Solanum lycopersicum: one gene and its partners. The protein of the gene in region 3 interacts with the protein of the main gene of each other region in a pairwise test. Links are inferred from orthologs where the notes say so. Each region holds a gene or a part of one and is shown on either strand. Other genes may lie near its edges. The genes, in order: lanC-like protein GCL2; G-protein coupled receptor 1; GPA1; protein THYLAKOID FORMATION1, chloroplastic; guanine nucleotide-binding protein subunit beta; regulator of G-protein signaling 1.

Region 1 (4,070 bases), on a different chromosome or scaffold from region 3:
AAGGTATAATTTAAATCCCATAGGCCATATTAGTCTACCGAACAAGTTTAGTACTTATCCATCTTAATAAATAAGTTTTTGAGGTGAAATTTTTGTAATTTACTTTTCTATACAACTTATTAGAGTATGATAAGATAGAATGTTTCACGTTACCTTTTAACAATACATCATATGATAATACATCTACCTTACATAAAAAAGATTAACATAGCTAATTCTACAACCCACAACATGTTCATTCTGTATGTACAAAACTAGAGTGATTGTGTTCATTTTCTGTATGTACAAAACTAGAGTTCATAAGCAGGGAACCTTGTTTCTATTGGATCTATCATGTCGAAAAAGAGATAAGCCATTCCTCCCATTCCTTCAAACAACGAGTATGGACGATCACCTCCATGCATAACTCCCTCTGATACAAGTATTTGAGCTCTAGCGTGCAGAAAGCACGCGAAGGCCTTTGCCTTGTACAAATACTCAACTTTACCTGTCAAACGATACAGTGAAAGAAAGACATAGGAATTTCCACTAACACCGTGACATATTCCAACTCGTTTGAGTAAGCCTCGATTCCAAATCACCTCAGCTGCTTCTATAGCTGCCTGCAGAAACTCGTCATTGCTGAAAACCTGAAAAGTTACGACAATGATGAGCAGAAAGCCCTTCCAGGATCACGCATTTCATCTCATGTCTACGCGGATTGAGGAGTTTTATATAGTAACTATTAGGAACTAACATCAAGATTACTGTGTCTGTGCAAGGTATTACTCCATAGTCCATACCTTAGCTGCTTTGATTAGAGTAAGGGCAACACCTGGAGCACCATGACACCAATGCACAAGTCGGTCAGATTCACTTCCTTCACTTGAGGGGTAATTTCCACTAGGAAAACGATTTCGGATCATGTAATGCAGTGTAGCCTTCACATCCTCGACCTCATCTGCTTTCAGTTCCATGTCCATAAGTACATGCATTATCCCAGCTAGTCCATGAGCAGCACCCCAGTATCTTTTTCCATGCCATTCATACATCAGTGGACATTTTCCTTTCCCCATTTTTCGTCCGGACTTTATAACCTCAGCAACAACTGCTCGCTGCATAAAAAAATTCCGAAGAAATAAAGAGCCATTCATAATGAGGAAGCATACGTGATTGAAATTTGTGAAGTTTCTTACAATTTGGGTTGGAGATATTGTTTCTCTACCAATATTTTTGTTTAAGAATGAACAAGCCCACAAGAAACCAGCCCTCCCATACAACAACTCATTTGGAAGATCTTTAGGAAGCTCAATCTGCATTTGTAGATAGATAATGAGAAGACTATTGACATCAACAGAAAAAGCTCGAAACAATGAAAAAAAAAACCTCTTTGAATTTCGTCAGATAGTGATCACACAATTGTTCATCCCCGCTCTGTTTGGCCACAACTGCACCAAGAGAATAAACACCAGCTTGTCCACATATGAAAGTCACACGCCTGCAGTTTCACAAATTAGAGTTCAACTTCTCGTTATGTAATTTGCCTAAAACATGTTTCTATGTGGGAGGAGATCATGAAACAGAAACTTCGATTGGATTGTCTGGTCGGATCATTTGACCACCGCCACCGCATCACTCAATCTACAAGGGATCCAACCAACTTTTACAGGTCTACTCCCATCTGATCGGAAACTAGTTTACTTCATGGTCTTCCCTATCCGATTTATATTAACAGATTACTTGATTATTGAGTGAACGGTTTAGTAAAACTCACAAAAAATATAGAACATTTAACTTGAAACTAGAACTAAGGTTACATAAAAACAGACTATGGCTTTCCCTAATACTCAACCCATGTAAAAGGACAGAACCTTCTAAACGTATCAATTTCCTCTTCATCTCTTCAACTTTTTTACCTTCTATTTCCTTATTCATAGGGTCTTTTTTATCCAGTCATCTTCACAGACATGTCTAATTAACCGAGCAACTCACCAATACAGTGATCAGTTCGTTACACCTTTCATGTGGATCGAACTTACACTTAGCACCGTTATAGTTTTTGGTCGCCATTGTTTATCATGAAGATTAAGATGACTTCTCATGCAGGATAATTAAAACCAGAAGATATGTTCATATACCAAAAAGTTATCATCTTTCTTCAGACAACACAAATCAAATTTTAGCTCAAATCATAGGAAAAAGGGTGAAATTTTGCAAAGGGAGTGTACCCAGAACCGCGGGAAGCAGAGTCACAAGCCTTGATAATATCAGAACAGAGAGCAAGATCATTCTTGTCAAGAGTAACTTGGTAAGCTTTAAATAACAAAAAAGCAGTTCCTAAAGCTCCAGTGTAAATTGTATAGTCACTCACTCTTCCCCTTTTACATACCCATGTCTCCTTCACAATCTGAAACATATCAAAATCAAAATTAGAAAAAAAAACAGGGAATTTACACAAACACCTAGCAGGCACTCTATACTCAAGAGAAGTGATTACCGTTTCTTTGAGATCAAAAGCAACCCTTTTGAGATTGTCGCAAACAGTACCATAAGGCAAATACAGAAGCTCTAACAATGGATCTTTTGCTCCTTCAAGAAATGATTCTTTAACTGTAGTTTCATCAACAAAACTAGGCATGGTGTTTGGAAAGAAACGATCTGCCATCTCTTTATTTCCGGTTCTGTTGAATCCTCCGCCGGAACAAATTTATGGAAAGAACAGAGCTCCGGTGGTTCTCAGAAGACAGAACAGAGCAAGTCTATCCGGGGTAGTGTAAGTTTTTTTCTTTATTCACGAATGTTTTAGTTTAGTGTATCAAGCTATTGATATCCATATAAATATAGATGATTTATTCGATTTTATTGATAATAGACTTTTTAAAATTATCAGATGTGGTCAATATATTAAAATAACAAATATTATCCTTAATAATTCGAATAATTATTTAGCAAACATGACTATAAAATTGTTTTTACTTAATTGGTAATTATTTCTTTTACAATTTAGGAGAAGTCTAAGATGCTCAATATTATTCGGGATCTAAAGCAAAATTTTAGTTTGAGACCACAGACATTAACTAATTCTCTGCCCTCTCTCAATCTCGCTGGCTATATATACAAATACATATATATAATATGTACAATTATCAAACAGATATATACCTAAACTTTTTTTTTGGTTAGAAATTGTACCTATGATCTAATGTTGTTTTCTGCTCTTCTGTAGCTGGAATGAGAAAGAGGCTGTAATGAACTTCAGAAGACAATAATGTATGATTTGTCTTTTTTGTATCATACAACAAAAAAGTTCTTTACAAAAGATCTAATCACAAAACATTCAAGTCATTTTTTGAAATGTTATATAACGATGTAGAAACAATATTTGTTTGGTCAGTCAATATTTTGTACTTATTGCTTTCTCCATAAACATTTCTGTAGGTTCAAGACATCCCCTTACTGCATCATGTCCAAGTTGGGCTCTTTCGTTGTCTCCAAATCCAAAGACTCGTCCACAATTTGTAACAACTACTGTGTGGTATAAGCCAGTGCTGATTTGAGATATGTGATGGGATCTCAAGCTCTCCAGGATACGAGGCTTCAAAACTTTATCTGATGCTCCTCTGTCAAGGAATCCGAGGCTACCAAAACCCATCCAGCCAAAGCCATAAACAGAACCATCGTCCACAAGGACAAACGTTTTCCTCTTGCTTGCACAAACCTACCAATAGAGGCAGGCAAAATTAAGCTAGGACGAGGAAGACTGTTATGTATTTTACAAGCCTTGAATTACTTTGTATCATATTACTTGCGTTATACACTAATTTGAGTTATTTCATGTTTCCAAATGTTAATACTGATCTTTGTAATATCGACTAGCAAAAGTAAAAGAATGCCAGACCTGAACTGCTAGATGGCTCTTAAGGCTGGTCAAGTGTGACGGAGTAGTCTTATCAGTCTCATCACCATGCCCCAATGCACCGCAATAACCTTTCCCCCAAGTATATACCTGAAATCACGAAAATCAATCATCAGTCGTGACAGCACTTTATTCTTTTCTGCAGTTAACCAACTCTTAGCATACATCTTAAATG
Region 2 (2,844 bases), about 130 kb from region 3:
ATATACCATTGCCAGATATAAGTTACTTGTAAAACAAATACGTATGACATGTGGACACCATCAACACTTGGCAAATTATGATCCAGTTTCACCTTTCCAATTACCACTATAAATCGGTAGTACATTTTCAAATATAAATAAGAAAAAAGTTTGGCATACATCAATATACACTCTCTTTATTTGTTCTTATTTTAGTTTATTATTATTAGTTTATTAGCTATTTATTTTATAACCGTAAAATATTTATTTGTAAGTATTTTGCTTTAAGAATTGGGGAAGATGGAAAACTGTGAAATACAAAAATTTGGGGTATCAACCGTGAAGGAGTATTTATCTGTAGTTATTTTGCTTTGATAGGCATAGTTTCCCCTTAGGAGAAAGCCAAATCTTTCTTTATTCCTAAACAAACCAAAATTAACTCAAAGAAGGTGAGGACACATACACCAAAGCAATCGATACATAAAATGGAACTTCTTGTCAATATGCAATGATGAATTTAGTAATATAATACAATAAAATTTCAGTAAAAATCAAAATAAATATTATATTGTACAATACAATACAATTGCTAACCATCCAAACAAACTGGAAAGGAAAGTCTATGCAGAGTTAGAGAAGATAAGTAGCAAGAGCCAATAACTGTAGTAGATCGAATAGACATAACAAATAAATCAGTAAACAAATGTTCTCTGTTTCGATACATCAATAAACATACAGTATGCCTTGCCTATATCAGAAGACTTAGCATCAGCCCATATCAGATCATATGTAATCTATTGATCACACTAACATTCTTCGGTATCAATAACAAAGTAGGTGCATTAGTATGCTCGAGCAATCAAAAAGGAGCAACAAGCAATTAGCATATGGTGCATAGATGGATCAGTAAACGTATGTGAGCACAAAACCCGGGCTGAAGCAATGGAGAGCATCCCTGTCTGTCACAATGTAGTTATCAATTGTCAATCTGGTCCAATTATGAAAAGGGCGGCAGAATCATTGAGATGACTGTACAAGCATAAAATTGTTATTGCTGATCTTGAATCTTTAGAGAGACTAATTCACTGTCGTCTTGTTGTTGGCCTCTTGACCTTGAGCTCTTAGGAAGCCATCTTTGAGACCATTCAGGTAACCTGGAAAATGATACACATTAAAACATAAACTTAGGAGAAACAACACTAAGGTGATTGAGTAATAAGAAGTTAGAAACTACTGTGCATTTTCATCGCTTCAGAGAAATGTAATGAGGACATTCAGTAGGTATAATTTTTTTATTATTGTTCTTTAGAATATAGCTTCCTAGTGATGCACTTCTTTTTTTAGTTTGTCCCAAAAGTACTGGTACTTTTTTTAAGCATAGAAACAACTTACTATAAAATTTAAACTTCTCATTATATAATGACATGATTTATGGTTTACACAGATATCGATGACTTGTTTTAAACATGTTTCAAAAATGTTTTATTAAGAGCTACATAACTAATATATTTGTACATTTAGCTTTTAATTCACTGTACCTTAGTTAGCTGAGAGTCGGGATAAGTCACAGTTAGTTACAACTAACTGTCATCTCAGTTAGTTTTCAATATTAGTTAGATTAGTCGGTTACTAATTCTTTGTATACAATGTTCTTTGATTACAGCAATAGGTTTTGAGATTCCCATTCTATCGTACTCCCTCAGATTGCTCTCTTCTTCTTTCTCCATTTCAGATTGAGAATAGTAGAATCTCCACTGTAGTTCAGTTCGATCTATTCATTCTGTTTGTGAGTTTTACATTTTTCTTTCTTAAACTCTTACCAAGTTAAAGTGCATCACATAAATTGAGACAGATAGAGTAATGATCATGCAACAAGGACAACTTAACCAACTCTATTAAAATATTGAACAAAGGCTCTTTGACATTAGGAGAAAAGACAAGCAATTTTTAAGTTTTTAACGAAGATACAGTCTCTTGAAACCAAATGACTACTGATGAAACAAACAAGCATATTAGCATTGGCACTACCCAGGATAAAGGAAAGAAGGGAAAAAGATGGAACCAAACGTATGTTACATGTCCCCCCTCCCCCACCCCCCACCCCCTTTTCTAGGGCTATAGAACACTTACTGTTGCAAAAATTTTGTGTAAAAATGAACAGACTTACAGATCCAATCTCTCGTAAATTGCTCTACGGACTGAGCTGTTAAGGCCATATGCTATTGAGTTGAAGAGACCCTAAACAGAGCATAGAAGATTTGTCAAGGAAGAAAATATCTTTAGTGTCAGAGTTGTTAAAAGGAAAGTAGATCAAAACTAAGCATCAACATAAAGTCAGAGATAAGTTCCTATCAACTGAGAATCCCACCAATTCATGGATACAGACACTTAAACTAAACTAATCAACTTTTTTGTTGATTAAACAATGTAACCAATTCAGAATATCACCAACTAATTAAAGTAAACACTTGGCGGCATCGCTCTTGACATTCTGTGGATAAGCTTGATGGATCCAAGTCATTCTATCCAGAGAGGTTTTGATTGTTAACACTAGTTACCAACATGTCTATACCTGCTTGCAATCTATATGGTAACAACGGAATAAAATACTTATCAAAGAGTGGAAGTTCCCACCACGCACCTTACCCAAGCACATCAAAGAAAAGAGAAAAGAGAGAATTCATCTATAGATAATAGAATTTACCATGAGCTGTGCCATTCCAACATCAAGAACAGAAAGCCAAAAGATCTTATGACCTGGTTCAATAACGTCATGTATACGGTTGATTGTACCGAAAAACCATGATCCAATAAGAATGAGGGGATAGTAACCCCAACGATTCAGTGCCTGCGAGATGTCCAACA
Region 3 (4,229 bases):
ATCATAGTTTTTGTGTTTTATTATGATTATTAGAAATTAATTAGATTAATATTTCTATTCAGCTATTTATGTTTTTGCTTGAAATCAGATTTAATAAATATTATATAGATAATTTTATTCTGTATTTGATTAATAAATAGTAACACTAACCCTATGTAATATTATCTTGTCGATACTTATGATAATATTTTTAAATTATAATTTAATTTAAAAAATTATAAAAAGGTGTAAGTTTGAGAAAAGAGGGCTGACTTGGCAAAGGCCGTAGTCCACACATTTGTGAGTTGGACCGACCATTTTCTGGCCCTCACAAAAAATGAACTAGTACGAACATGTCAAATTGCAATGCTCGTATGGATTAGCCTGAATGGAATAATAAGCTAGTCCATATTGACAACTCTAATTAATGAGCCATGTGCAAATATGAAGTACTAGTAATCTACTTCTTTTGTTTTTTTTAGAATAAAAGAAGGGGTATCAAATGAGCGGATTTGGTTAAATTAGAAATATTAAAATGAGTTCAATAGAAATTGGGTTGGGTCTTGACCCGCACAAATTTATCCGATTAATCTCAATAATTTAACATATTGATATTTAATTTTTATAATCACAATTTGAATTTTCGCTTAAGAATTTTTTTTGTTAAAAAAGTAACAAATGGATAGATAAACCCTAAAAGATGTTAGATAAATAATAATTCATACATTCATATAGGAACATATCTTAATAAAAAATTTTAAAACGGGTTGAAATTAGAGATTGAATTGGGCTCAATTAAGAATTCTCTTCAAATAAGTTAAGCTTGAATGGGTTGAGAATCAACCCAATACAAATATCTTGAGTCCAAACCTTAAAATTCTGGACGGATTAGACGGGTTACCTATGTTTGAGTTCACTTTTAACACCCCTAAATAAAAGTGAACAAAAAGAAAAGAAAAGGATATTAAGAATCTTGACCATAAAAATAATTCATACTTTTTTTTATTCTTGAAAATTAATGTTTGATTATAAAAATTTCAAATTTAACTCGAAATTATATTTCAAATTTGGAAAATAATTATAACATGTTTTCAACTTAATTTTCGCTTTAAAGTTTTATTAAAGTACATTCAAATATGAACGCTATTACAAATATTCTTTTGAAAAAAGAAATCAATTCGAGCAAACCCTATTAATTAAGACATTATATGTAAATTATTCCTCTCTTCATTAAAGGTCTTGAATTTGAGGTCTGATTATAAAAAGTTCTTACTAAAAAGTACTATCATTTAAATAGGACTTTATATTACACAAATTTAAAATAATTGAACTTTAATACGAATACCCAAAAAAGAATGAAGATAAGGAAATGAAGCACTAATGTTAACACGTTGCGAAAAACAAAAGAAAAAAGATATAAAAAGTTAAAAATGTTATTTGTTTTTTGGTTAGTCAAAAGTTTGAACCTTGACTCACACTATGGTTAGGTAACACTATTTTCTGTGTCTGTCTTTCTTTTGTCTCTCTATAAAAACATTGTTTCTTTCAGCTTTCTCCCTTTATTTATCTCTCTTTTCATCAGATCAGTGTTTCATCTTCCAGATCCTCTGGTTAGTACAATCTTTAAGTTAATTTATTATCTTTATATATATAAAAATGTAATCTTGCTGGTTCTTTTTTTTTTTTTTTTAAATGGTTAATTTACAAATGTTTTAGGGCTTCTTGTGGTTCAGAATCTAAAAATGTTGATTGTAGTAAATAGATGATTGAATTAATTGTTAAAGTAGAGAAAAATTGGAAGTTGGTAGCTATTTTTAAGCTTTTACACATATATCTTTTATGTATAAATGTTAAGTTTTTGCTTTTTTAAATGTTTTTTTCTGGGGTTAGTTTTTAAAGGTTTTAAGGTTTGAAGTGTTTCAGAATTGAGAATGCTAGTGAGTAGGGTGTTGAATTGACTGTGTTAACTGTAGTTTTATTTATGTTTTCATTTTATTTATTTTGTTGTTGTTATTATTGGAGTGATGGGTAATTTGAGAAGAGGCTGTGTCATCTTGGATGAATTAAAGGGGGTTTTAGTTACTTCTTTGTTATTTTGGAAGTGATTAATTGTAATGTATGGTATAATTTTGAGGTTAACAGTGATAATCCAGCGAAGTTTATTTACGAGTATTGGAATGAGATATATTTGAATAGAGTGAAAGGGGTATAAATGACAGTCGAAATGAACACGTACCAGTTTAACAATGCGACAACATATCCAATATATATATTCCTGCAAGTGGGGTCTGTCAAGGGTAGGTGTACGCAAACCTTGCTCCTACTTTTGCTGGGTAAAGAAGTTGTTTTCGATAGATGCTTGGCTCAAGAAATCATTTTCAAAAAAGATTTGAAAGAAAATAGATGATTCGTGTAGCTGACCCAAATTATTTGCCATTTAGGCTTAGTTGATTAATAATGAGGATTCAACTGCCTTTTGTTTCTTCTCTTTGTGAGTTTCCTTGCAACAATGAAATCCTGAACATAGTTCCCAAGTGATCGTGTGACATTTCCATTGATACATTTGTGTATAATTGCCTTAGTTGACTCTGGGGTTGGAGAAGGGTATCTTGAACTTTTATTGGATTGAGATGCAAACATGGGACAAGGGAGACGTACTTCGATTATTCTGTAGATGCAATTGAACTGCAGTTGCAGTATAGTCTTTTGTGCATAAGTACCTTATTGGCTTATATTTTTTCTGTTAATTGTTTCTCTTTGAAAAGTAGGCATACATGGACATCATAAAGGAGCTGTAACAACAGATTTGAGATCCCTAGTTTAACTATCACACAGGCCTATGCTGTCGGTGGTTTTCGAAAACATGGGCTCGTTGTGCAGCAGAAACAAACACTACAGTCAAGCCGATGATGAGGAAAATACTCAGGTATGAGTTATACGAAATAGATTTGGAATTTGGTATAGTCCATAGTACTGTCTACAAGCTAGGAGAGCGAAAAAAATATCTTACATAACCCCCAGTGTCCTGACTAGATCATGTGTCTTCAGACTGCAGAGATAGAAAGACGGATTGAACAAGAAACAAAGGCAGAGAAGCATATTCAGAAACTTCTTCTACTTGGTAAATAAGGAAAAAAATATAGTCTTCAATTATCATATGATCTAGTAATTTCTTACTTTGTCTTTGCCTTTGCCTTTTCCTTTTATGGTCACCATACCCATGTAGTGATTTATGATGCCTACAAGCTATAGGCATATTCTATTTCTACATTCAGACTTGTTATATTTGAGGAGGCAATTGGTTATGAACTTTGCTTTTCCTCGAAGGTTCTGCTTCATAAGATGCTGGTGGAGGAAGCATAGTGAAAAAAAGATTCTTTGGAATATTGTTGTAGCATAGAGGAACTTCCACCTCTGGATTGACTTATTTGTCGAATTCTTTGTTCTTCCTTGTCTTATAGTATTCTTTTGCCATATTTTAAACTTACTGCTGTGTGTTTGCTGGTTAATGTCCTGTTTGACTGTGCTTGCTGAATGCTGATTTTTCTGTTGTTTCAAGGTGCCGGAGATTCGGGGAAGTCTACGATTTTTAAGCAGGCAAGAGATCTTATAAAATATCTATTAAGATTTCATTACTTTTAAAATGTATATGTTAATGTGTTGAAGTGCGTGACCATCTTATCTAAATGGTTAAGTTTCCACGCATCTTTATTACTTAATTATGTCTTCAACGTGTCGCCACATGTGCCGGATGGATCTAATCAATGTCCGTGAATGATAAATTATAGGTTGAATTGCCGAGCTTGATTCTTTTTGATGAGCCAATCACGTGAACTTTTTTTTTCTGATAATGGATAGTGGTGAGACTCGAATCCAGTGGCGGAGGCAGGGGGTTTAGAATATGAAGAAGTAAACATGTGAAAATTACAAGAAAATAAACGCAGCGAGCGGCGAAGGGCAGGACTTAGCTTAACCCACTAAATTTTAATATGTCTTGTCAATACCCCATTTAACATTTCTTCTTGCTTTTGCCTTTGCTCCGTCAAGCTCTTCTTAGATAAACTTCTTGGCTGTGTCAAATGGATTTATTATGGAATATATACACGCGTAAAAATTAAATTTTATCTGTATATACGGCAAAGGGGGTTCCACCCCTAGCTCTGTCCCTGCTCGAACCCAAGACTTTTGCCTGCTATGATAACGTGTTAAATGTATCATTTCATCTTAAAGTTTAAGTTGTTAGAGAGAAA
Region 4 (4,150 bases), on a different chromosome or scaffold from region 3:
AATATATAAAAAATAAAATAAAGAAGTTAGGTTTTGGGATAATATAGTTTAATTATGAATTAATTAATAGGCCCTTTGCTGCTCGAGTTCACATCATGTTGGCATTTTCCTACATGCATTATTTTGGCAAATGTTTTGGAAAAGGTATTATAGCATATATGCTTGTGGAAATTAATCTTAACAATAAAGTTGTATGGTTCAATTATTATTAAAATTTTATATTCTCATGGTCTGAAAATATAGTCCCATATGGGCCATGGACTGAAAAAATGGAGTATGATCACAGTTGCATCAATCAGCAATGTGACGAAAGTTTTTGATTCTGGGCCTGCTGTATGAGCATTTTGGCACGGGTGTGCTTAGGGGCTCAACGCGTAACCCCAAATTATAATTTCAATGTATATAGTTAGAGTTGAATATGAGTTAATTTTGTATTTTGTCATTAATGTAAAATTCTATATCCATATATCCATATAGTATATTTCATTAGTAAAATCTGAAAAGAATAGAATATTTACGTTTTAAATACTATGAATAGATGGAAAAATAAACAAGTGAGGCTTCAAGCAGAGTTTGCTAAAAGGACTCAGAGCCACTCAAACAAGTTCCTTTTATATTTTCCTTAAAGCAATGCATTTTCCCAAAATATAATGCTTTTCAAATTAAATAAAGAATTAATACATCATACATTCATTGTTCTCTCTTTTATTTAAGGTGTGATTAAATTTTAGAAGACAATTTTCCCATTAAGTATCATTTTAAAAATTTGAATCCTCATCCATATGAAATAAAAAAAAGTATCAATATAACAGCATGTCAAAATGACCTTTCTGGCTATCTCCAGTTACTAACTTGGTGATTCTCTGGGACTTCTATTTCTTTTCTTAGACATAAATCAATTTTCAGTAGTAAATTGCGAAACTATTATGGGAGTAAATTACTTTTTGTTGTGATGATAATTATTTTAAAATTATAAATGTAAATTCGTTTAAATAATTAGTAATGTCTGATTTACTATGAATTGGTTTCTCACCATTTAAATCGATATTTCTCACATTCAATCTAAAACTTTATTATTTTTAATTGAAAAATTAATTTAATCATAATTAAAAACTTAATTTTTTATCGTATTTATCTGACCTGACTATCATGTTCAAATTTATAGCTACTATTCTTTGAATTTGATTGATAAGTCTATTAAGATACCAAACTACACCACCACTTGGCATCTAGCTTACAAGTTACAATAATCGTTCGTAACCACAAAAAGGAGTAGTACACAACGGATTCAATCAGTACACGTGTTGTGATATTATTCGTCTATTGATAAACATTAAATATGAAAATGAAATATCCTAAAAGCCATCGGATAAGCCCTCAAATCCAAACCTCACACTCCATTTCTCCTTTCTCCATTTTTCACAGAAAAAATTGAAATGGAATACAACTCTATTCTCTAAAGCAACCAACAGTTTCTTCTTCTTCCTCTTCTTCTTCACCGGTAGAAATATGGCGGCTGTTACTTCAGTATCTTTCTCGGCGATTACTCAATCGGCGGAAAGGAAATCCTCCGTTTCTTCGTCTCGTTCTATTGATACATTTAGGTTCCGTTCCAACTTCTCCTTTGATTCCGTCAATGTTCGATCTTCCAATTCCACCTCTCGCTTTGTCGTTCATTGCACGTCCAGTTCAGCTGCAGGCAAGTTCTCTTTATTGCTTCGAATTTGAATTAGGAAAAATTAAACTATACAGTAACTTTTTTTCATCTAATTTCTGTTTTAGTTTAATTTCTCAGCTAATTGCATGATTCTGTATGTGTAATGTTACAATTGCTTAACTAGTTACTATTTGTTATATGAAATGCATAAAGGTTGAATTTGGATCTAGATATAGTGTATGCGGATGTTTTCTCGTTGGAATTGCTTATATGTTATTTGAAGTATTGAGAATATTTTACAGTTATATACTCTCTACATTCTGCCTTATATAGATGTTTTACACTGTTCCATTTTTGTACAACTTTTAGAACTTTCACGAATTTAAATGCATTAACCTATTCCTGTTATTAACTTTGGTGTGAGATTTTTTTGATCATATAAGTTCTTGACCATTGCTTAAATATTTGTTAGCTCCCTAATTAGCTTACAGGATGATTCATTCATGATATTACTTTTGTAATGCAGTGTAAATTAAATGACCTTACTTCTTCAAAAAGAATTATCAAGTACATATACTAGTCAAATTAACATATTAGACTCCATGTTCATACTAATAACATTGTATAAAATGGATTGGAGGGAGTACTATTTATTGCTAATGAAAGTTGAATTAACTTGTTAAGGGGGAAAACATGGATATTGAACTAACAGATAAAGTAAAGTTTTCTCCTGTTTAATATTTCTGTCTACATTCATGCAGCTGCCCGCGTTTTCTGCATTCACATTTTTCGTCTAATTTCTTTCTCGTTATTTATTCAGTTCTATCTTAGTGATTTTTCAAGTGTTTATGTTATGAGGTAATAATGCAGCGTGTTATATTGAACTGTTTCCAGATTTGCCAACTGTTGCTGACACTAAAATGAAGTTTTTGACCGCTTACAAGCGACCAATTCCAACTGTCTACAACACAGTGTTACAAGAGCTAATCGTGCAACAACATTTGACAAGGTACAAGAAATCCTACCAATATGATCCTGTGTTCGCCCTAGGTTTTGTTACTGTGTATGATCAACTTATGGAGGGCTACCCCAGTGAAGAGGATCGTAATGCTATCTTCAAAGCATATGTAGAGGCGCTAAAGGAGGATCCTGAGCAATACAGGCATGCTTAATCCATCTCTTGCCACTTTTTGTTGCTTTTTACTCCTTTTTTGTTTATAGGCACACAAATAATTTTTTATAAGTGACGGGATGCTTGCATTGAGCTTTCCAGTAAGGTAGTTTTAGATAAAATATAAGTTTAATTATCATTAAGATTTTCTTGGAGAATGGAACCAAAACCCAAGATGAACAGGCTTAGCCGTATTATGGAGTTTGAGAAATGCAGGTGTATGATTTCTCAATGAATGGAAGTGCTATTCAGAATTAGCTGTAGAACCCCTTGATCAACTTTTATTTACTAAGAGGTAGCTCACTGTTATCCTTAATCTAACAGTATCTTCCTGGGCTTACGAAGAGGAACCCATGATTAAACTGAATAAAGTAACCCCATTCTGAAGTGGATATGTCTATTATAAGTTTTTTAACCAAGAGATTACATTGGATGAGATTGATCGAGCAAATTATACATTTTCCACTTGTAGAGTGTCATGAGACCATTTTAGAGCCACGACTGACACCTGGTATGTTCTGACCTGACTAACGTAACCCATGCCTCTCAAAACAATCTCAACTTATAGAGTAGGTTTCATAACCAAACTTCGTACATGCTTAGCAAAACCCAAATATAGTGCAACTACTCTCAAGTTCTGAACATAGTATGGAAAATTCTCAATCATGATTCACCCAAAATGCTAGAATAAGAAATTAGATTGATGAAAAGAGTTGAATCATAAGTACATCTTTATATACTAGATAGAATACCAGGGAGAGCCTTTCTCGCGGTAGCCAAAAGTGTCAATCTTTATCTTGTTAAGATAATTCTAATATTGTTCTAGAGTTTGCTCTATGTACTCCATCAAAAGGTTAGGTTAGTGATATAGAAATAGGCGTCTCCTATTTCACTAAAGAAGACTTATCTAGTGTAAATGCAAATCTTTGCCTTAGGAATGAAGAAGATGTTCAACTGTAAGAGGTAATTGTTTAAGACTAAAACCATGTGGCCTATGAATTGAAGTAGATTATGTCTCTTATGCCTTGAAGAAACAAACACAGAAATATAATGCTGGGAGCAGAAAAAATCCAAGGACCTTAATCTTTAGTGACTAGAGGTTAAGGTGTTGATTTCCATTCAAACAGAGACTATCTGATTTTATTATACTGAACTGTGCCACAGTTTTTGTGGCTTTTTTTCTTTTCTTTTTATAGTTACAAAAAAAAAAAAGAAGCTTGCCACAAAAGCTCAAGCCTTAGAATTCTTTGTTAAAAAGGTAGATTGTAATTTGAGGTGGCTATATTTTAGCTAAAAATGAACCAACCAAGAAAATGCCGAAA
Region 5 (3,492 bases), on a different chromosome or scaffold from region 3:
TAACTGTGAAGTTGTATTACCAATTTTTTAAAAATATTTTGCAGGTCTATTCACTGGACTGGACTCCTGAAAAAAATCGTATAGTTAGTGCATCCCAAGATGGTAGATTAATAGTGTGGAATGCTCTGACAAGCCAGAAAACCCATGCAATTAAGCTTCCATGTGCTTGGGTTATGACCTGTGCCTTCTCTCCTAGTGGACAGTCTGTTGCTTGTGGCGGCCTTGACAGTGCCTGCTCTATCTTCAACTTAAATTCACCAATCGATAAGGATGGGATCCATCCAGTATCGAGAATGCTTAGTGGGCATAAGGGGTATGTGTCTTCGTGTCAGTATGTTCCGGATGAGGATACTCACCTAATAACTAGTTCTGGTGATCAAACATGTGTACTTTGGGATATAACTACTGGCTTAAGAACTTCTGTGTTTGGGGGTGAGTTTCAATCTGGGCACACTGCAGATGTATTAAGGTAAGCTGTTGTATGGGCTATGCAATTATGCTCTCTTTGTCCTTAAATTTTGCAGTATGTTTAGCGTATCTTCTGCTTGTATATTGGGAAGCAATCTTATTTCTTTTCCATTTATCCAGTGTCTCAATTAGTTCATCTAACCCTAGACTGTTTGTGTCTGGGTCCTGTGACACAACTGCTCGACTGTGGGACACCCGAGTTGCTAGTCGAGCTCAACGAACATTTCATGGACACGAGAGTGATGTCAATACTGTAAAGTTCTTCCCTGATGGTAATAGATTTGGAACTGGTTCAGATGATGGAAGCTGCAGATTATTTGATATTAGGACTGGACACCAGCTGCAAGTATACAACCAACCGCATGGTGACGGTGACATCCCTCATGTTACTTCCATGGCATTTTCTATCTCAGGCCGTCTTCTCTTTGTCGGGTACTCTAATGGTGATTGTTACGTGTGGGACACCCTATTAGCAAAGGTACAACAAAGTTACATCTTGCTTTTTAACTCATTTCTCCAAAACGTTCTTCTATCATTCTAAACATTATCTAGTTAGCAAACATTTTGAGGCAATGCGTGATCCAAGCATACTCAATCTCTTCTTTTTTAGTAGGTAACATTTAAATTTATTATTACCATTTTCCTTTCCAGATTTCCTTTTCATTTTGATTGTTTGTACATATTTATGATGTCTTTGTTCTTATCTGACATCAGCTTGATTTCTTGCTGTTATGCTTTGAATCAATAGGTGGTCCTAAACTTAAGATCAGTTCAAAACTCACATGAAGGGCGAATAAGTTGTCTGGGACTGTCAGCTGACGGAAGTGCCTTATGTACAGGAAGTTGGGATACAAACCTGAAGGTAAGCTTTACAGTGGTTTTCTCTTCCTAATGAACAAGAAACTACATTATGGTTTTAAGCATCAAACCAAATTCTAATGAGATGAAGAAATCTAAGAAGTTTAGAACCATTAATTACAGAATTTATGTGTGTGAGGAAAGAACTTATACAAATAATGGATGGTAGCTCCTACATTTCCCCAAGTTCTTACGTGGATGAGAAACACATATCATATTTTTAAATCCATGACTGAGATTGGTTAATTAAACAAGGTCCTAATCATGGTTAGAGTAATAAATATTTCCATATCTGATATCTGAACTTTCCTCTCTTTAGCTAAATTCATGTCCTAACATTGTTATTTTCACAGAATGTATTTACTTTTGTTATTGCCACTCCATACCAACTGAATTCCTACCCTGTGTTTTAAGCTTTTACTATATTTTATATTCACAAAATGGATTTGCTTTGAGGTTTTCTTGTTTCCGTTTATATATACATGGTCAATAGCTAGTAATATTCTGAATACTGAATTTGTATTCACTTCTTCGTTGGAAACACAAGGTCATGATATGTTAAATATTACTAATCAAACAAATTTGAATTTTTAGCAAATTTAAGGCCCTTCATTGGTGATACAATTTTTTTTTCAATATATGAAATATATAGGCACTATAAGGGTTAGAGTTTGGAGGTTAGAAATTTAGAAAACCAGAGTTGAGAACAAGGATAGAAGTCTTAATATATTTATGGGTGAGATATGCATTGAGATTGACAAATTCTTTTGAAGCAAAAATACATGGAATATCTACTATTCAATCATGGTTAAAGTCTTGCTTACTACAACTACTAGCCTGTTATATGAATCCCCACTTCTTTGTTTAAGCTTATCATATCCTCATTATCGAACACATTGATAGAAGTTCAATTCAGCATATAATCTAAACCATTAATTTAAAATGAGACATCTGTTCCCCATCCAAGTGAGAACATGAAGAAATGAAGAAGAGCCAAATCCACAAATAAATAACCCTATTCCACTTCTCAGTGAGAACTATTCAGGAACCAGTACCTTGAAATTTTGGGGCCTCAGTTTTGTGTTTTGGACTAGCCTGCATAGCGGTCAGCCTTGAATATCAAATAATTACTTAAAAGAAAAGAATTACAATCAATTATTTACAATCAAGGATACCCATCTCTATCTCTTTTATTTTCTCTGCAATAGATTTATCCGACTCTTCACAGTTCAGTTTCCCATGTATTCCACCATTAAAACAAGATCTTAATTTCTTTGTTTCTTTGGCAGATTTGGGCTTTTGGAGGACACAGAAGTGTGATCTGAGTTGTGAAACACCTCATCCTGTTATTTATCTCCAGTCCCTCTTCATTCTCATTTTCTTTCATGGCCAGCCCGTGGGTTCGCGATTTCTTTTGGCATCTTCATAACCTGTAGATCTTTTTAAATCTAGTTAATATTTCTGTCAGATAAACCAAATTGTTTCCACATGAATCTGACATATATTACTAGACCAGCACCAGTTGTAAAAAATAACCTGTTTGTTGTCAAAAATTCTCTGATGATTTCAGCTGCTTATGTAATTAAAATTCTTTTTAAAAAAAATCTTGAGGAATGAAAACAAGCTTTACTTTTGCCACCATCAAAGAACTGTTGTAATATCGGAATTCTTAGTTTGACAGAAAAGCCCAGGCATAAACTTTTTCCTTTTCCTCAATGTTCGTATTTATTCTCCTCCAGCTTCATTGTTTCCATTAACAAGTGTGTTTTTTTTTCATCTTTTTGTAAAAATGATCATTGTGTTCAGGCTTTCTATCATATTTGAGAATTCTCTGTGCTGGTAATATTGTTAGCTTGTTTGTAATGGCACAATGGTAAAATTGCTTCTTTCCTTTTACAGGTAAAACGAAGTGCATTTTGGCACTCTAAGGTGTGACATTGTAGTTGATGATTTAATTCTCGTAGAGGCAAAAATTAGGTTACTTTTCCTAATCCAATCGAGAGCAGAAGGCATAATTTTTAATTAGTAAAACTGTCGAGTAATATTGGTTTTGTGAACAATTTGGGAGGGAAGAAGTACATTGATGGCATATAAATATGTGGAGCCACATGACAAATAGACAATGTAGATACATGTGGCTAAAAGAAGCTATGTTTCTTTGCTCTT
Region 6 (4,312 bases), on a different chromosome or scaffold from region 3:
GAACATCGACTGATAAAAGAGAACGTTGTTGACTAATCTTAGGCTCCTTCCTAACATAGATTTCAAGTTTTGTTAACTTGATTTGATCTATATAGTCATTTAGAACCCTCAAAAAGTCGGTCAACGATTCATCATTATAGATAATTCACTCTCCAAAATTTACTTGTCCTTGTGATAAAAATGAAGTAGGGTATTTTCCGGCTATAATCAAATTATAATCGTACTGTTTTTACCTTTTTTTTTATCAATTTATGATATCAGACATTTATTGGATATTTAGCATTGTGTTTGGGAGGACAATTATAATAAACGGTATTTCTGTCATGTATAATTTCGCCATTCCAATAAATTGAAACTTAACTTAAGGTGTAGAAGACATTTTTTTAGATAGAAATGAACAAATATAGAAGACTTTATGTTGTAAGTGCTATCAACTATGTATAAACGTCCTTAAATAGATTTTTCAGAATTAAAAATAAAAATACATAATGAAATATTCTTTTCCATTTTAATGATATATCAAATCAATATAATTTATATGACAACACTGAAAAAACTTCTTCAAGACGTGAAAAATATTCTTCTTATAAAGTGTAATAAAAAGTTTCACTTTATAAAGTAGAATAAAAAGTTCCACTTTATAAAGTGAAAGAAAAAACTCCACTTTATAAAGTGGAAGAAAATGTTCCATTATATATTAAAAATAAACGTTATGAAACTAACGGAAAACGTTTAGATTATTGGATATAGTGAAACTTTTTGTTCCACTAAGTTTATTTTAGTTACTTACTAAAATAGTGACTTATTTTCGTTACTTTTATATTTTTGTAGCTTATTTTGGTTCCAACTCCAAATAAGAGCATCTACTACTACTAATAACATAAATATTGTTAGCAAGTCCTTGTTTTCTATTATTGCTGAAATAGTTTTTTTTTTAAAAATAATAAAGACAACGGAAAATTATACTATTTATACATAATTAAAATAATTTTTTTATGTATATATAGTAGATGTCGAACCCCCTTCGGCTAATCCATATGTCTAACTTTACGAATCGTAAACCTCCTTATTGAAAATCCTGGCTCCACCACTAGTCGAATCTCTTTCGATTACTTCATGTATCTATTTTTTCAGATTTTAAACTCCTTATTAAAAATCCTAACTCCACTGTATATGATGGTAATATATGTCTAATTACGTAATTTTTCCTATTTAAAAGTATTTACTAAATTTCCAAAATTTCTTGTTAATTTAAATTAAGAAAGCAAATCGAAACAAATAAATAATATGATTTTTTTAAATTTTTCATCCGATGTCCAGTATTCACATTGAAGTCCAACTAAATTCGAAATACATTGAAGGTAAAACACTATCTAATAAAGACAATTCCTTATTCAAAAATGCTCAAATCCGAGACCTTTTAATTAAAAATGAAGAAGTACTTATCACTCTATCACATGAGTGATTCGTTATATTAATATAATTGATTTACATATGGTTGTGTGTAAGGTCAAAAATAGTGGCTTAGGACAATTAAACGAATTCTTTAACATGCTAACATTTCCCATGTACTTTACTAAATAAATATGGTTGATTTCTGCTGACTAAACTGAAGTTAGTGTAAACACATGTCGGCCTCCTCCTTCTCATAGACATTTCTACAAACAGTTGATGGGCATAACAGAGGCAGCAACTAAACTGTAGGGAGAATAAAGATGGCAGCTTGTTCTAGCAAAGGAGGGTGCCCAAGTGACTATATAGCGCTTTCAGCTGCTCTACTGTCCATGATCTTGTAAGTTCTCTGAATTTTTTTTTTGCTGGTTGTGGAAATTGTGAAGTCAAATACTTGTGGTTTGTGTTTTTCTTGCTGTTTCTGATTGATAGGTATGCAATCTTGGACAAATTGAAAGACATTTTTTTTTCTTTGATATTGTAATGAATTTGGATTTTGTTCGGAACGATTTCTTCTCTTTGTCAATAAGGCTGATAAAAGATGGAAAAGATCAAACTTTGGAATATGAAGCAAGATTGGCCTCCTTTTTGATTAATCAGTTTGATGAAGGGGTGAAGAAAGTTGACATATAAGGATTTTTTGTGTTCACAAAATTTATTTACTTCTAATTAGGTCAATGAATTAGGGGTTGGAAGATTGTACGTCTCTAGAGCTTGCTTTGCGTTTATTTGCCTTGCTTTCACTTGTCTTCTTCCCACTTAAGTATGACAATGGGGCAAGAAGGGGAAGTATAACAAGGACGTGCATAGTGTCGGTGTTATGAAGTGAAGATCAGTGAAGCGAGGTGGGGATTCGATATCGGAACAAGGCGACAGCAGTAACTGTAGTAACTGAAATTTGGAAGAAGGAACTATCGTTAGAAAGGAACGGCTAGGATTTAATGAGAAGCGATGGTGAGGATGATGCCACGTAGATTGAAGGTGGTTATATAATAGTGGTTAGAGGAGAGAGAAGTATAACAAACTATTGGGAAAAGTCACGTTTCTTTCCTCTCTTCTTCTCACGTTCCCTTTCTTTCTGTTTCTCTGTTCTCTTCTATCTTCTTTCTCTGTACTTCCTTTTGTTCTCATCCTTCTTCTTCATTTTGCATTTACAGCTTTTCTATGGAGGTTACGAAGTTCTTAGTTGATAGTTCATTACGTGTAATTGAGACTTCCTATTATCAATAAAGTTGGTCTGGTTTCTGTGATTTTCAATTCAAATTGTAAATTGAATTTGTGGTCTTATTAAGGTCATAACAGTTGGTATCAGAGCCTTCGAACCTGTGTGATGGTTGAGGGTACACGTTGGAAAATTACAGAGGATAAGCTAACAAGACACGATGAAATGCTAGCTGATCTGCTGAATTCACAAGAGGAAGTACGTCATGCTCAAACTGGAATTCAAGGAACATTGGACTTAATTTTGGAGAGATTGGGAGTGTTGGAGAGAGCTCAAGTGGTTCCGAATGTGGGAGCAGGTTTACTACCTATTCCAAATGTGGATAATCGCAACAGAGCTCAGCCGAATGCAGTGACGTTACCTAGGTGGGAGTTACCTTATTTCGCAGGTTCCTAAGTGACGTTACCTAGGTGGGAGTTACCTTATTTCGCAGGTCAGGAACCGAAGGTGTGGATCCGAAAGTGTGATAGATTTTTTACACAGTACAGAGTGGGCAATGAACAGAGGGTAGAAATGGCTACGTTGTATTTGACCGATGCAGCCGAAGTGTGGTATCAGTCGATGGTGTTAAGTGGAGGAATACCGAATTGGATTGAGTTTAAAGAGGATTTGATAAGTAGGTTTGGGGAAATTGTAGTGAGTGATGTGGTGGAAGAATTTAATAAATTGCAACAGATCGGAACTGTGGAAGAGTTTTTAGGACGATTTGAGGATCTAAAAGCTCAAATGCTTATACGAAATCCGGCTTTGAATGAAGCTCACTTCCTATCTAGTTTCGTTGGAGCACTAAAAGAGGAGATCAAATTAGAGGTGAAAATGTTCAAACCGAGGACATTGAAAGAAGCTGCAGAGAAAGCGAGAATGAAGGAAATGGCAATTGAAGCTGGCCGAAGGAGAAACAGAGTAGCAAACCGAGTGTTGCCGGCAGCTGTACAAGGAGTAGGAAAAACATCTACTGCTATGGTTAATAGGAATGGACCTTATCGGCTTACTCCTGAGATTTACGAGTTTAGGAAGTCGAATCACTTGTGTTTCCTATGTGGAGAGAAATATGGTCCGGGACATACTTGTAAAGTAAGGCAGTTGAATTATTTGACTGGTTTCGTTGAGGGTGATAAAGAAGGCGATCAAGTTTCAGAATTGGATGAAAATGAAGACATCACCATTGAAGGAGTAGTTGAACAGGAGGTACAACAAGCTGTTTGTTTAAATACACTGACGGGCCATAATATGGGAGAAAATACAATTCTGGTGGGAGGAACTGTTAAGAAGAGACATTTGGCAATACTGATTGATTCGGGAAGCACTCATAGTTTCATCGACAAGCATACATTAGCTGCATCGGGTTATAAGCCTCAGCCTTGTTCGCCTGTATGAGTAACTGTGGCGGATGGCAATTATGTAATGTGTAATTCTCATTGTAGAGGGTTTTGTGGAAAATGCAGGAAAGAATTTTCATGGACGATTTGCTCATTATTTCTTTGGGAGGCTGTGCTTTGGTGTTGGGAAACGACTGGATGAAGAAACATAATCCAACTAAGTTCGATCATGAGAGGAAGTGTGTGACTATAGGAAGGAAGGCTAATAAGTTGGTGCTGCCAGGAATAGCAGGAGAAGGTAGTTTGAATATGCTATCTA

The links.
Region 1: the proteins of GPA1 (region 3) and lanC-like protein GCL2 interact in binary tests that used the Arabidopsis thaliana proteins (3 or more experiments, as listed by UniProt). The link is inferred for Solanum lycopersicum from reciprocal best matches to the Arabidopsis thaliana genes GP ALPHA 1 and GPCR.
Region 2: the proteins of GPA1 (region 3) and G-protein coupled receptor 1 interact in binary tests that used the Arabidopsis thaliana proteins (3 or more experiments, as listed by UniProt). The link is inferred for Solanum lycopersicum from reciprocal best matches to the Arabidopsis thaliana genes GP ALPHA 1 and GCR1.
Region 4: the proteins of GPA1 (region 3) and protein THYLAKOID FORMATION1, chloroplastic interact in binary tests that used the Arabidopsis thaliana proteins (3 or more experiments, as listed by UniProt). The link is inferred for Solanum lycopersicum from reciprocal best matches to the Arabidopsis thaliana genes GP ALPHA 1 and PSB29.
Region 5: the proteins of GPA1 (region 3) and guanine nucleotide-binding protein subunit beta interact in binary tests that used the Arabidopsis thaliana proteins (3 or more experiments, as listed by UniProt). The link is inferred for Solanum lycopersicum from reciprocal best matches to the Arabidopsis thaliana genes GP ALPHA 1 and AGB1.
Region 6: the proteins of GPA1 (region 3) and regulator of G-protein signaling 1 interact in binary tests that used the Arabidopsis thaliana proteins (3 or more experiments, as listed by UniProt). The link is inferred for Solanum lycopersicum from reciprocal best matches to the Arabidopsis thaliana genes GP ALPHA 1 and RGS1.

Annotation. Positions count from the first base shown.
Region 1 is NC_090806.1:68,237,493-68,241,562, reverse strand, and holds lanC-like protein GCL2, read right to left. Parts: upstream 2,811-4,070; 5' UTR 2,645-2,810; coding exon 2,477-2,644; intron 2,387-2,476; coding exon 2,208-2,386; intron 1,478-2,207; coding exon 1,366-1,477; intron 1,293-1,365; coding exon 783-1,292; intron 630-782; coding exon 291-629; 3' UTR 90-290; downstream 1-89. Other genes in the region: ultraviolet-B receptor UVR8, read right to left, coding at 3,374-3,697, 3,878-3,985. UniProt on the Arabidopsis thaliana protein: May play a role in abscisic acid (ABA) signaling.
Region 2 is NC_090807.1:49,764,706-49,767,549, reverse strand, and holds the end of G-protein coupled receptor 1, read right to left. Parts: intron 2,828-2,844; coding exon 2,684-2,827; intron 2,218-2,683; coding exon 2,147-2,217; intron 1,134-2,146; coding exon 1,028-1,133; 3' UTR 519-1,027; downstream 1-518. UniProt on the Arabidopsis thaliana protein: Together with GPA1, may regulate the cell cycle via a signaling cascade that uses phosphatidylinositol-specific phospholipase C (PI-PLC) as an effector and inositol 1,4,5-trisphosphate(IP(3)) as a second messenger.
Region 3 is NC_090807.1:49,632,971-49,637,199, reverse strand, and holds the start of GPA1 (guanine nucleotide-binding protein alpha-1 subunit), read left to right. Parts: upstream 1-1,425; 5' UTR 1,426-1,589; intron 1,590-2,744; 5' UTR 2,745-2,818; coding exon 2,819-2,905; intron 2,906-3,027; coding exon 3,028-3,100; intron 3,101-3,538; coding exon 3,539-3,576; intron 3,577-4,229. UniProt on the Arabidopsis thaliana protein: Exhibits a fast rate of basal nucleotide exchange. Guanine nucleotide-binding proteins (G proteins) are involved as modulators or transducers in various transmembrane signaling systems.
Region 4 is NC_090806.1:65,477,065-65,481,214, forward strand, and holds the start of protein THYLAKOID FORMATION1, chloroplastic, read left to right. Parts: upstream 1-1,325; 5' UTR 1,326-1,509; coding exon 1,510-1,699; intron 1,700-2,551; coding exon 2,552-2,819; intron 2,820-4,150. UniProt on the Arabidopsis thaliana protein: Involved in a dynamic process of vesicle-mediated thylakoid membrane biogenesis. Required for the normal organization of vesicles into mature thylakoid stacks and ultimately for leaf development.
Region 5 is NC_090800.1:92,555,229-92,558,720, reverse strand, and holds the end of guanine nucleotide-binding protein subunit beta, read left to right. Parts: intron 1-44; coding exon 45-469; intron 470-588; coding exon 589-946; intron 947-1,216; coding exon 1,217-1,330; intron 1,331-2,615; coding exon 2,616-2,651; 3' UTR 2,652-2,975; downstream 2,976-3,492. Other genes in the region: transcription termination factor MTEF1, chloroplastic, read left to right, coding at 3,459-3,492. UniProt on the Arabidopsis thaliana protein: Guanine nucleotide-binding proteins (G proteins) are involved as a modulator or transducer in various transmembrane signaling systems.
Region 6 is NC_090804.1:8,243,898-8,248,209, reverse strand, and holds the start of regulator of G-protein signaling 1, read left to right. Parts: upstream 1-1,502; 5' UTR 1,503-1,715; coding exon 1,716-1,792; intron 1,793-2,652; exon of another isoform or gene 2,653-2,782; coding exon of another isoform or gene 2,783-3,062; intron 3,063-3,107; coding exon of another isoform or gene 3,108-4,051; exon of another isoform or gene 4,052-4,060; intron 4,061-4,312. Other genes in the region: uncharacterized protein, read left to right, coding at 2,783-3,062, 3,108-4,051.